Linked DNA regions of Drosophila melanogaster. The protein of the gene in region 1 interacts with the protein of each later gene in a pairwise test. Each region holds a gene or a part of one and is shown in the gene's direction. Other genes may lie near its edges. The genes, in order: jagn, CG16853 and CG13984.

Region 1 (4,414 bases):
ATATATATATAATGGCAACATTCGAGGTGGAGGTCCCGGCCCCAAAAGTCATGAAATCTGCCGCGTATGTGTTTTCATTTTTGGCGAAAACAAAGAAAGACTCGGCGATGAAATGCAATTAATATGCAAGTGCCACTCATTGTGATGGTACTATTCTGGTCTATTACCTTATGGACCGAATCGCAATTATGGCGCAACTTCAACTTTGGACTCGAAAGTGTCAGCCACCGAGCTCAGCATAAATATTCGAGCGGAAATTATCAACAACTGACATTAAAATCGGAGCGGGAAAGACGCGACTTTCGGCCGGAGACGATCGCATGCGATGAAAACGCGTCCAAGTCGGAGGAATACCGCCGTAGAACTGATGACACACCCGGGCCGAATGCTCGACTTTTGTAGCGTAGCGAGCATAAAGAGAGTGCGTTGAAATGGGAAATTCATTATTTTATTTTTAAACGTCGTCGCCCTCTCTATTTTCGCAGATTGGCTTTTCCTCGCTTGTTTCTTGTTTCGTGGCAGATTGATTTATGGATTTCGGTGCAACAGGTGCTGGCCAGTTGACAGAGCGCCGAAAGTCCGCCGGACACACCCACTGCTTCCAATCTGGAAAACTGATTGGGACACAAAGCTGCATCCAATTTGCATAATCCCATCAAAGAGCACTTGCACCCAATTATGATAATTTCGGCTTGACGCACTAGGCATTATTGGCTTCGAAAAATTGGAACTGCAGTTCAAATTCAAAAACAAGGTACGGAGAAACTAAAACAAGAGGGAACGCTACAGGCGAGTTCCCCGACTATTAGATACTCCTTTCTCTGCTAGTGAAAGTTCAAACATGAATTTCAACATTTTCTGACATAGCAATAAAACTAAATTAATCTCTCTTATATATGTAGTTCCTGAGATCTCGACGTGCATACGGACGGACATGGCCAGTTCGATTCGGCTAGTGTTCCTTACCAATATATGCTTTATTGGCTCGAAAAACACTTCCTTTCACCTGATACATATTCGTTGAAAAAGGAATCTAGAATACTTCTTTTTTAATCTACGAGTAATATTTTTCATCGCGACCCGTTCATTAATCATTAATCATTACTAAATCTTACTAGTTCTGCCATTTGGTCTATAAGACATATTGGAATTGGAATGCAATTCAATTCATTTTAGTCTAGCGTTTGTACTTTTAGTAGAAATAATTCTCATATGGATGGAAGATTTCAATCGGAGTATTAAAACCAGCCCTCATTTTCTAAAATCGTGCAAAAAAGATATGAAAATTAAAGTATTAAGTGCCATTAATGCCATTAAGAATAGGTTTGGTTTTATTTTTCACCAGCCCACTTTTCAGATTAGCAATGCTAAACTCTCAGCATTACCTTTAAAAAATCGTTCTCATTTGCGACTAGTTCGAATATCTATCTACATTCTGCCGAAACTAACTAGAGAAAAACTGAAGTTCTACGTATGTAAGTATAACACATTTATTCTACACAGCATTAGCGAGGTTACACACCTAGCGAAGTCATCCTCCCAATTAAAATTTCCCTAAGCGGAGCTAGTCACCACGACCACATTGCCACTTTATTAAAACTAATAACTGTTTAATAACTGTAATAGAATAAGTTAAAATAATTAAATAATATGACTAATCACGTGTTGCTAATACAGTTAAAAGGCTAATTATTTAATTTAATTAATGTTTTGTAAACAGTTTCCATGCAGATGTATTAATAGTTTCCATGGCAGACTTTCTGAAAATGAACATTCTAAAACTTAGCGGAATTTCCCCTCTCTTTCTAACGGTTATTTGCTATGCTTTCAAGCGAAAGTAATCGATGGTAGCGAGGAGCGTATCGATGTGCGCCAGTTTTTTGGTGGCAGCGATGGTATCGCACACACATCGATTCTAGTGCCAGCCCTATTTTTTGTGCAATTATTTATTAAAAATAAGCAACGACGTGAGCGAACGACACGACCCACGAACGAAGGCAACGAAATGGCAACGCGCGGCGGACCAATGGTCGCGGGCACCGATGGCAACGACTTCGAGTTCAGGCAGCGCGTAGCTGGCACATATCAAATTAGGTTAATAACACTTCGTGCTATCGCCAGCTCTCAGCTACACTCGAAATTATCTAATTACTGGGGCGCCTGTGGCAGTAGATCCACCTGCAGGCGGCACCTACTGCAGCCGAATCGCAGGTGGCGTCCAGCCAGGGCGGCGGAGCACCCTGGAGCTGCTGCACCCACCCACTTGCTGCTGTAGGGGGCGGGTGGGCAAAGTGCCAGCTGGGCAGCATGTGCGCCCCAATATGGGGCTCACCCACACAGATCCGCCACTGAACGACCACTTTCTCTGCTCTTTTAGCCTGCTGAACAAGTCCAGGTTGAAGTACTGCATCTTCTTTCACGCCCTGCTGTTCTTCGTGATGCTGGCCAAGCTGACGTCGGACATTCTGGACCACCTGGATATCTTTGTGCTGGAGATCGAGGAGCTGGAGGTCCCACCGCCCCTGTGGTGGGAGTACGTGTGGGCCGCGTCGTTGCTCACCTCCTTCCTGGGCCTTTCGGCCGCCAGGGGCAACAAGGTGCGCGAAATGCAGAAGTATATGGTGGCCATACTGCTATTCGCCATCCTGCCACTCTTCTACTGCTTCGCCTACTACTTCTCGGACGTGTGGGAGTTCGCCACGCTGGACAAGTCGGTGGAGCTGGACGAGACAGACATCTTTGTGTGGCGCGTAAGTGGCTGGGCCAGTTAATCCCTCAAGAGCCGCCCTACTAAACCTCGGTTTTTCTACAGGGTTATCCGTACGGCGTCTTCTGGTATGCCTTCTGCTTTGTGGGCTTCCAGGTGCACGGATTTACGCTGTACTTCGCCTACAACCTGGTCAAGGCCTGGAAGGCCAGAACTGCCACGCGCAAGTTCCAGTAATCTAAATACTCGCCAAACTAGTAAACGCCGGAATGCAGGGCTAGTTGTAAATAATTTGGAAACTTGAAACTAACTCAAAACACTAGTGCACAAAAGCGTAATGAAACTATGGTAAACTAAAGTTATGCAGCTGTTAAGGTATCGCACACTTAGTCATACAGGAAGGGAAACATATGGTCGAAACTGAGCGAAGCGTCGGCGGTAAGGTTATTGTTAGTTGAAAGTTAGTTGATACCGTTTTCAAATTGATTAAATAGACTCTTATCCATATACACATGTACACCTATACACATAGACATACATATATACACACATACGCAGCCTTGTGAGGTCAACTAAAGACAAGAAGCAACTGAAGCCACCAAATTTCCCCGAGTCGGAATAAAAACTGAAAACCAACCTAGAGATCACTTCATTTTTGCTCACTTACATTTCGACGTGCCTCGTGTTTGTTAGAAACGTTTTATATATATATTTACACATGAAAATATGCGTACATCAGTTTATGTTTGCGTCCACGGATGGTTACTTCCTCGCCTAGTTGATAATTAGTTCACTTTTCTACAAATTTCGAAACCGTTTCATTTTTGCCAGTACGTTAATTTTGAATTTTATTCATCGAACCGCACAGTGCCATGCTTTAAGGCGTCTGGCCGGGTGCTGAACGTTTGAGAACTGCCCCAAACTATTTACAACCTTCTGTCACTGTTTACACACTACTATAAATAAGGATTGAAATGCAATTTGAGTGTTAAAGCAAAGTTCTTCAATTTCTGATCGTCAATAATACTGTGTAATGACAGGCATGTCGCCAAACTAAACTGAGAATTGAATTTTAATGTAATGATGTTTTTTAAATCGTAATTTATTATTCGAATTTTTAAGTAGTTTTTTAAAAATCGATCAATAAAGATGCATATATATTTGTTCTTCTGAGTGGGTTAAACATAGCATTTTATTGCGGTTGATTTAAAACAAATTTTGATAAGTATACCTATTAAGTCACTTAATGTTTATATGCTCATCTACAATATTTATCATAACTTTAAAGAGGCAAATACAAGTTCTCAAGCTTTATTTCTTGAAAAACACCACCAAATAAGGACCTTCGCCCAAAGCAATACAATCCAACACAACCCCACAGGCCGTTGCAATGCGGCTGGCAGGCCGAATTGGCCACAACAATCCAGTTTTAGTGACCATTTGTGCATCGAGGCGAGTGGAGGAGCAACAGCAGGCGAGCATTGCGCAATTGTTTACAATTGGCGACGGAGAGCCAGGAAGCTGAGACAGAGAGAGAAAAAGCTGTGGCGGAGAGCCAAAGCTTTTCCGCAGCATCCTTTTCTCCCTGCTCCGCCCGCTCTCTTAATTTTCCATTTGTACATTGCCTGTGCGAAGAACGGATGCCGAATTTTCCAACACACCATTTCGGACCGAAGTAAACACGAAAACTAAGGAAAAAAAATTGTG
Region 2 (3,626 bases), on another chromosome or scaffold:
CGACAGTCGACCCTGAAGTGTCGATGGACAGCAGCTTCTGGTTTTGCCCGGCCAGACAGGAAAGGAAATTGCTTAATTTAGCGCAAAAATTATCCACTGGCCAACGAGGCTCAATTGCCGGTCTGCCATGGTCGTTTGAGGCAGATGATAAAGCAACCCTTTGCTACGAATTTTTAGCCAGACTGATTTTAAATGACAGAAATGGTAGAAAATAAATTTAACTCACACTCATGATTTTCACACGAAAAACATATTGAATCACAAAGGCAAGGAGCGACTAGAAGAACTCTACATGCTTAGTTCAAAAAGTGACACTTCTGGAGACGATATCTCTATAACTGCACAAGCAGAAAAAAGAGTGGATGATAGCATCAGAGCGCCATCTATTGGCTGGAATGCTGAGCACAAAGATGTTCAGATTCCAAGGGACCAACTAACCCACAGGCAGATCAGCAAGTGCAATTTGTTTGAGGAATACATCAAGCTCCCAAAGAGTGAATATGGACAAACAAGCCGCATGAAGCGATTCCGATCCGAAGAGTTAGCTATTAAGCAAGGTAAGATAAATGTATAATTCCGTTCTTATTGAAGGGCTAACAGCCTTTGATATCTTAACAGAAGATCAAATCGTGGAGCATAGATCATCGAGTCTTTCGCGGCTATCGGATGTCACAATCAAGCCCACCTGCGAGGTGAGTAGTCAGACTTCGTGGACAGCAGCGGACGAGAGTAATATGAATAGCAAGGATTTGGAGGCGAAGCTGGCGGCTGTACGCGGCGGTGGTATCGATCTCGAAACGGACAAGCCCAGCAAGATCCAGCAGCACACGATCCACATCGAGGTGGAGTCGGTGACATCGGCCACGGCTATGCAAAGACCCCCACTGCACCAAAGGATGTGGCAGGTCCTTGTGCAGACGGCGGATACGATTGTCGCATTCGCCTCTATAATCGGCGAGAATTTAACAGTGGCACTCTTCATTGTCCTGTGCCTGTGGTGCCTTTACCTCTTACTAAGCCACTTTTATGGCAACTTGCAGACCAATGTCGGCATGCCGTCCAAATAATTGTAATAAGAATGATTCGTTTTGCACGTGATTGTATGAGTAAAAATGCAGTAAACAGAATTAGCAGAACAGAGTTCCAACCAGCATTGCGCATTCTAATTTATCTCAACATATTGGGTGTGCAACAACACATGATGGCGAGACTACAATATAGTGCCGAAGCGAAATCGGTTAGCATATAGCAAAAACGATCGGCCAGCGGTGGTCGACCTAGTGCATTTGGAATCTGCATGGAAACGGCATCGATGAATATCGTGTGACGTGTCGATTCGCAGGGTGCCAAAGCCGGGGCAAAGTCCACAGGACAAACTCTAATGCGCCGGCGCGGCTGTTCCGTCTGCACGCCGATCGAGTGGATGTCCTTGAGCACATCGCTATCCTTCTTCCTGAAGATCTCAACATCGTCTTCCGAATTTTCTGCGGGTTGATACAGTTATAGTAACTATACTAAATAAATGCGGGTGACATCTGGTTTCACCAAAATGAAACTGTTTATGGATTTATGACAGTAGTGTTATTTTTCAGAGTTTTCAAGGACAACTCCAAGAGACAGTTCCTATCTTTTTTTTATAGATTGGTTTATGCATTATTTTGATATTTTTTACCTTCCGCCAATGCCTTGGACATCCATCCGTACCAATTCCGTTTGTTTGCTCCGCCTAGATTCGATTTTGAATTGGTGCGTACGGTGATCGAGCTGTGTGTTGCAGCCGGATCACTATCTTCCAAATCCTCAAAACATTCGTCGGCTTGAAAGCCCAAAATATCGAAGAGCCGCTGGCAGGTGTTCTTCTGCTCGGACAGTTTGCGGGGCTCGTTAACGGCATCCTGAACCAAATCGCCAATTAGCAAGTTAATGACGATCGCAGTCTGCGGTGGCTCCCTGCACGCCATTAAGTTTACAGCGTCCACAGATCAAATTTGGAAAAGTATCGAAAAATGTCTTACAAGCTACTGAAGTCAACATAATTTCGGCATATACAAAACGATGTTGACAACTATCACACCGGAACTGAATTTATCACTCAAATTTTGTATTAGCTGGTCAAAAAAATTCCCAGTTTTCAACACAACGCAATGGATAATCATATGGATAAGAACGATGAGGACAAGAGGTCGTCATCCCCGGATTCTCAACGTCAAGTTATAATATATATGCCACCCGCCGTTGAACATGGTCATGTTGTGTATCTAAAAGATGCGAATTTAGGCGCCACAGAGACGGAGGCTTCTGCACAACTCGACCCACAGGAGCATCTTTCGAATGCGGATCGGTTGGAGAACAATCGGGTGATTTCAGAGCTGGATGATGAGCCGAGCACGAGTGCTCAGTCCGCAGTTAAGGGTCAGAAATCAGAAGATGATCAGGGTCACCAGACCAAGACAGGTATTTCAAAAATGCCAGGATCTCCTAAGCAGTTGCACAATGTATTGGAAGTAATCTGTCGCTTCTCACGCGAGATTCCTGATGCAATGGAGGGCCGGGAGCAACTCCAGCCGGCAGTGATTGTCCAAATTCCAAAATATCGCGAACTGGGAACCCAGACCGCTGAGTTGCCATCGCAGTCGCAGCGATTGCGTTTGGATCTGACCGACCTGAGACCAGATCCGAATCCACCGCCCTGCGAACGCACGCTGCACACATTCACGATTAGTGGCAACAATCTGCCGGGCAATCCTCGCCAGCTTCGTCAAACGATCTGCGCGCGAATTGGACGCTCCATCTGTGATTTTGTGGCAGCCTTTTGTCTTTGTCTGCAAGTGAACAAGGATTGTGTCTTCTGTCTGGGTTTTTTTGTGGCCTTTGTGATCAGTGCCAGCTTCCTGACTGCCTTCTTCTACCGCACTCTTACCTTCTCCTCGTCGCCGGTGCGAGTGGTGGCCAATCCGGTGAGCGGCACCATGCGCTATGAACTTGCCACACTGCGATTCAACGGAGGGTACTACTACATCTATAATAGCAGCCAACAAAAGCTTCTCTAATCTAATTGGAACTTGAGTTTTATTTTGGTGCGGGTTCTTTAGCTTACATCTTAAATGTGTGATATAATGTTCTGTTAAAAATAGTGATCGAATTCTTATTGAATTTGTAAAAACTTGTATTATAGTTTAATTTTAACAAAGACTTTTTTGTATACGAGTAACACCTTTGGGTATATTCTTGATCAGGATCCCTAGCCGAGTTGATCTAGCCATGTCCGTCCGCATGAACGATATCCTTAGATTTAAAATACATGTTCTGTTTATTTTTAAGCTGCCTCAAACAAAGTCGGGTTGCGAAACTTTGGAAATGCAAGCAAACCGCATGACCAGGTTCAATCAATGGTCTTTCAGCAGTTTTACTGGTTGTCATGGACTCCAAAGTTTGCAGTTCGCTTACGCCGCTGCCGCAATGGTACTGCCTTTCTTCGCCAACTTTTTCTTGATTTTTTTTATATATTTTTTTTTGAGTTTAACTCTAGACAAAAGTCGCTCTGTATAGCGGGTGGCAGAATGGTGCATGAGTGGATGGAGCGAGGATAGACCTTGTCCGGCTTGACTTGACTTGACAATGGGTCA
Region 3 (3,102 bases), on another chromosome or scaffold:
ACCCACCTGAATGCCACTGCGACTGCACAATGCACGTTGACATTTCCCCACTCATCCCGATTTTCATATTACATTTGGTTGAGCTTAAATGACGAATATGTTTGGTAAGCCGCCGCACAGTGGAGCTTGTGAAACAAAGGTCTGAATGTTGCGAAAATTATAAAAATTTCCACAGTAGAAGTAACTAAATGCCATTTCAACAAATATCTAACTAATAGAAGCGCACTAAATAATTATTTCTAAACGCGTTTGATTTTGGCAACCAAAGTACTAATTTGGGCCCACCGTGCGACGTCTGGGCCCGGAATTTCCACATTAATCTCATTTCAACCCAACCACCCACTGATGTGAACAGGGCAAAACCATAACAATATATGTACACATTCAGGGTGTACAGTTGCAGTTAAAGCTTCATTATGTACAGCATTTTCACATTATTCAATTTAAGAATTATGCACTATAAATATAATATTTTCATTTTTTGTTAAAAAATATGAGATTATTGGCTAATGGGAGTTGCGTTCGTCACTAGTCTGTAGCTCTGTTCACAGATCTTGCATAGACGGCATTAGTAACTTCTAACCGATAATAAGCTATCACAGTTTAATTATCCCTTGGCAAATCTAAATATTTTGATTTAAAGCCTTATATACCATGTGAAACGCATAAAGAACTAGAGGAAACTCTCATGCAATCATCCAGATTTTTAAAGATTCGTTTGATATCAGAGCATTTTGCTTGCAAAGCTCCTTTAATTTGAGGACGCATTTCCTTTGCCAACGCAGCGGCGCAGAAAGTTAATTTTTCTTAAACTACCTATCTCGTTGTTTCTGTTGACTTGTGTTCTTGCAATGGCAGTGCACAGTTTACCATTCGCGAAAACTTTGGCCATTTTATTGCTGGTTATTTGCTGGTTGGCTGCGCCAGACGACTACGACAAAACCAATCATCCGCTCCGCTCCCTTGGCCGCCGCTGCTTTGGGATGTCAAAATTTTAATAAAGTCGGGGATGCCACATTGGCCGACTGCCATCCACTTGGCTCCTCATCCTGGGCGGTGTCATGCATTTTTGTTGCAAAAAAAACCGACCACCGACGTTTTTCATTTTATCGAGCGTCCTGTTTATGAACTCCGCGAACTAAGCGGGCACTTAAATTGTCTTTACGCCTTGGGGGCTCGTCTTCTGCTCCTTAAGACGTCGTCCTTTGACAAAACCTCCTTCTGAGCCCCTTTTTTTGTCTCGGGTTTTCCCAGAATTACATCCTTTTGGGAGTGGAATTTTTGGTAAAATTTAGTTTATGTCGGTCTCGTTCGTTTATCTTTACTGATTGCACTTTTAGCCTCTGTTTCCTGGGGGAAATTAAAATGTACTTAGCGATGTCTGAAAAGGCGTTACCAACTTGACCTTCGTTTTGTATAATTTACGTAACTAACATTGCGCTTAATAAATTGTGTTAAGATCCTACAGTTTCAAATAAGTTCTGTAAAAACGGAAAATTAGAGCGCATTCATTTTATTAACATTTTAATTCATTTTGATAAAACATCGACATTAGTCGTTCTTTTTTACTTCGGCGGGCATTCCCTCTCCTGTATAAGTCTTCTTAGTTTCCTCGTCCCGTGTCATTTTGAACCAAACTAAAGTCACGATCCCAAGGATGAGTCCTATGATTACTCCAAGGCAAGCAACGGCAGCTATGAAGGCGACGAAGTGGACTTCCGTTAGTATGTAATCCAGTAAATCAATGATCGGTTGGACCACGTGGACGCAGACGATTTCAATGGGGTTGGGAATCATTTTGGCACTTGTGATAGATACAATACGAACTAGTTAGACTGAGAGTGAAAATCGTTCTGAGCCCTGACAGCTTTTTCACTGCTACAGATTTCTGTCGCATTTCACCTTGCAAAGGGCAGGCGCGTAGAGGAGCATCAGATCTAAAATTTTCAGTTTTTGACATTATGGAGTATCAGCACTATTTGCAGAATGAGCTGACCATTTTCCACTACCACCTACTCTTCGACTATGGAGCACCGATCCAGGTGGCCACTTGCATTGCCTTCGGCGTCGTCTGCGGCTGGATAATGAGCCTGATCACATTCGTTGTCTACAAGGCAGCAATTGGCCTGGGCGCCAAAGCCACGGCATGTGACAACGATGATAAGTACGATGATCTCGACCTGGACATGCATGGGGAGTATGGGTATGACCGGATGTTGTCCCAGTGCCAGGACCTTAGTGATTGGCTTGTGAGGACACAGTAGCTTAGACAGGATAACGCCTGAGGGGGCATTCGATTCGCCTTCTCTGTGCATGAGCCCCAATCAAAGTATCTCCACGCCACTTAGACCGTCTCGAGTGCGCTGAGTGAATTTTTCAGATACTGTTACAGTGGCAGTATCGGATATTTTCTCTGCCGTTCTCGAAGTCATTAGCATAATGTATCTCGACACTGTCATGGCCTTAAATTGAATTCAGCATGCACCGCAGGCCGTCATTTATGCAAGTTTATTTCTATAGACGAAGGCCGGAGGTTCCAAATATTTAATAAACCAAACCGTTTCTGTTTGAAAAATTCCCTTTTTTTCGTGTTGATTTTACTCAAACAGCTGGAAGCTGTTTTCCCCAATTTAATTTAACATTTTGCCTGTTGCTTTTAGAGGACCTTCTGTGTGCTCCAGCGCTTAAAGGTCAATCACTTGTTAGCAAAAAAAATGGGTTTTTAAATCAGAAATTCACAACTGCATGCTCGTAAACACCATTTTGTGCCTTGATGGGTATGTAATAAAAAATGTTTCTGAAAGTGCACGGCTTATATTAAAATAGCAACAATTCAAACAGTAGCCTATCACGCACGATTCATTTTTTAGAAAATTGTAAACGTGGGAAGCACTGTCTTCTCATGGAGGTGAAATATTCAATTTTAGATACTTTTTGCAAGTAAATTGAATTTATTTTACAACCCCGCGTCAACCAGCAAAACGACGAGCAACCCCTCACCGCAGACGATAAATAATAATCGATTTGACTTTGGTTAGAGTTTGGTCACAGTGGGGAGCCAACTCTCATGCTATACACAGTAAAAAAATATTTAAAGCAACA

What was found.
Region 2: the proteins of jagn (region 1) and CG16853 interact in a two-hybrid assay, tested with the Drosophila melanogaster proteins (one large-scale study listed by BioGRID).
Region 3: the proteins of jagn (region 1) and CG13984 interact in a two-hybrid assay, tested with the Drosophila melanogaster proteins (one large-scale study listed by BioGRID).

Annotation. Positions count from the first base shown.
Region 1 is NT_033777.3:5,777,423-5,781,836, forward strand, and holds jagn (jagunal), read left to right. Parts: upstream 1-1,892; 5' UTR 1,893-2,005; coding exon 2,006-2,094; intron 2,095-2,377; coding exon 2,378-2,750; intron 2,751-2,812; coding exon 2,813-2,944; 3' UTR 2,945-3,886; downstream 3,887-4,414. UniProt on the Drosophila melanogaster protein: Required for endoplasmic reticulum organization and proper vesicular traffic during vitellogenesis. Required for oocyte and bristle growth.
Region 2 is NT_033779.5:13,540,508-13,544,133, forward strand, and holds CG16853 (uncharacterized protein), read left to right. Parts: upstream 1-1,961; 5' UTR 1,962-2,144; coding exon 2,145-3,050; 3' UTR 3,051-3,053; downstream 3,054-3,626. Other genes in the region: CG16852 (uncharacterized protein), read left to right, coding at 293-557, 619-1,067; CG9263 (uncharacterized protein), read right to left, coding at 1,168-1,484, 1,673-1,961.
Region 3 is NT_033779.5:6,306,906-6,310,007, forward strand, and holds CG13984 (uncharacterized protein), read left to right. Parts: upstream 1-1,913; 5' UTR 1,914-1,961; coding exon 1,962-2,264; 3' UTR 2,265-2,570; downstream 2,571-3,102. Other genes in the region: CG43922 (uncharacterized protein), read right to left, coding at 1,552-1,797.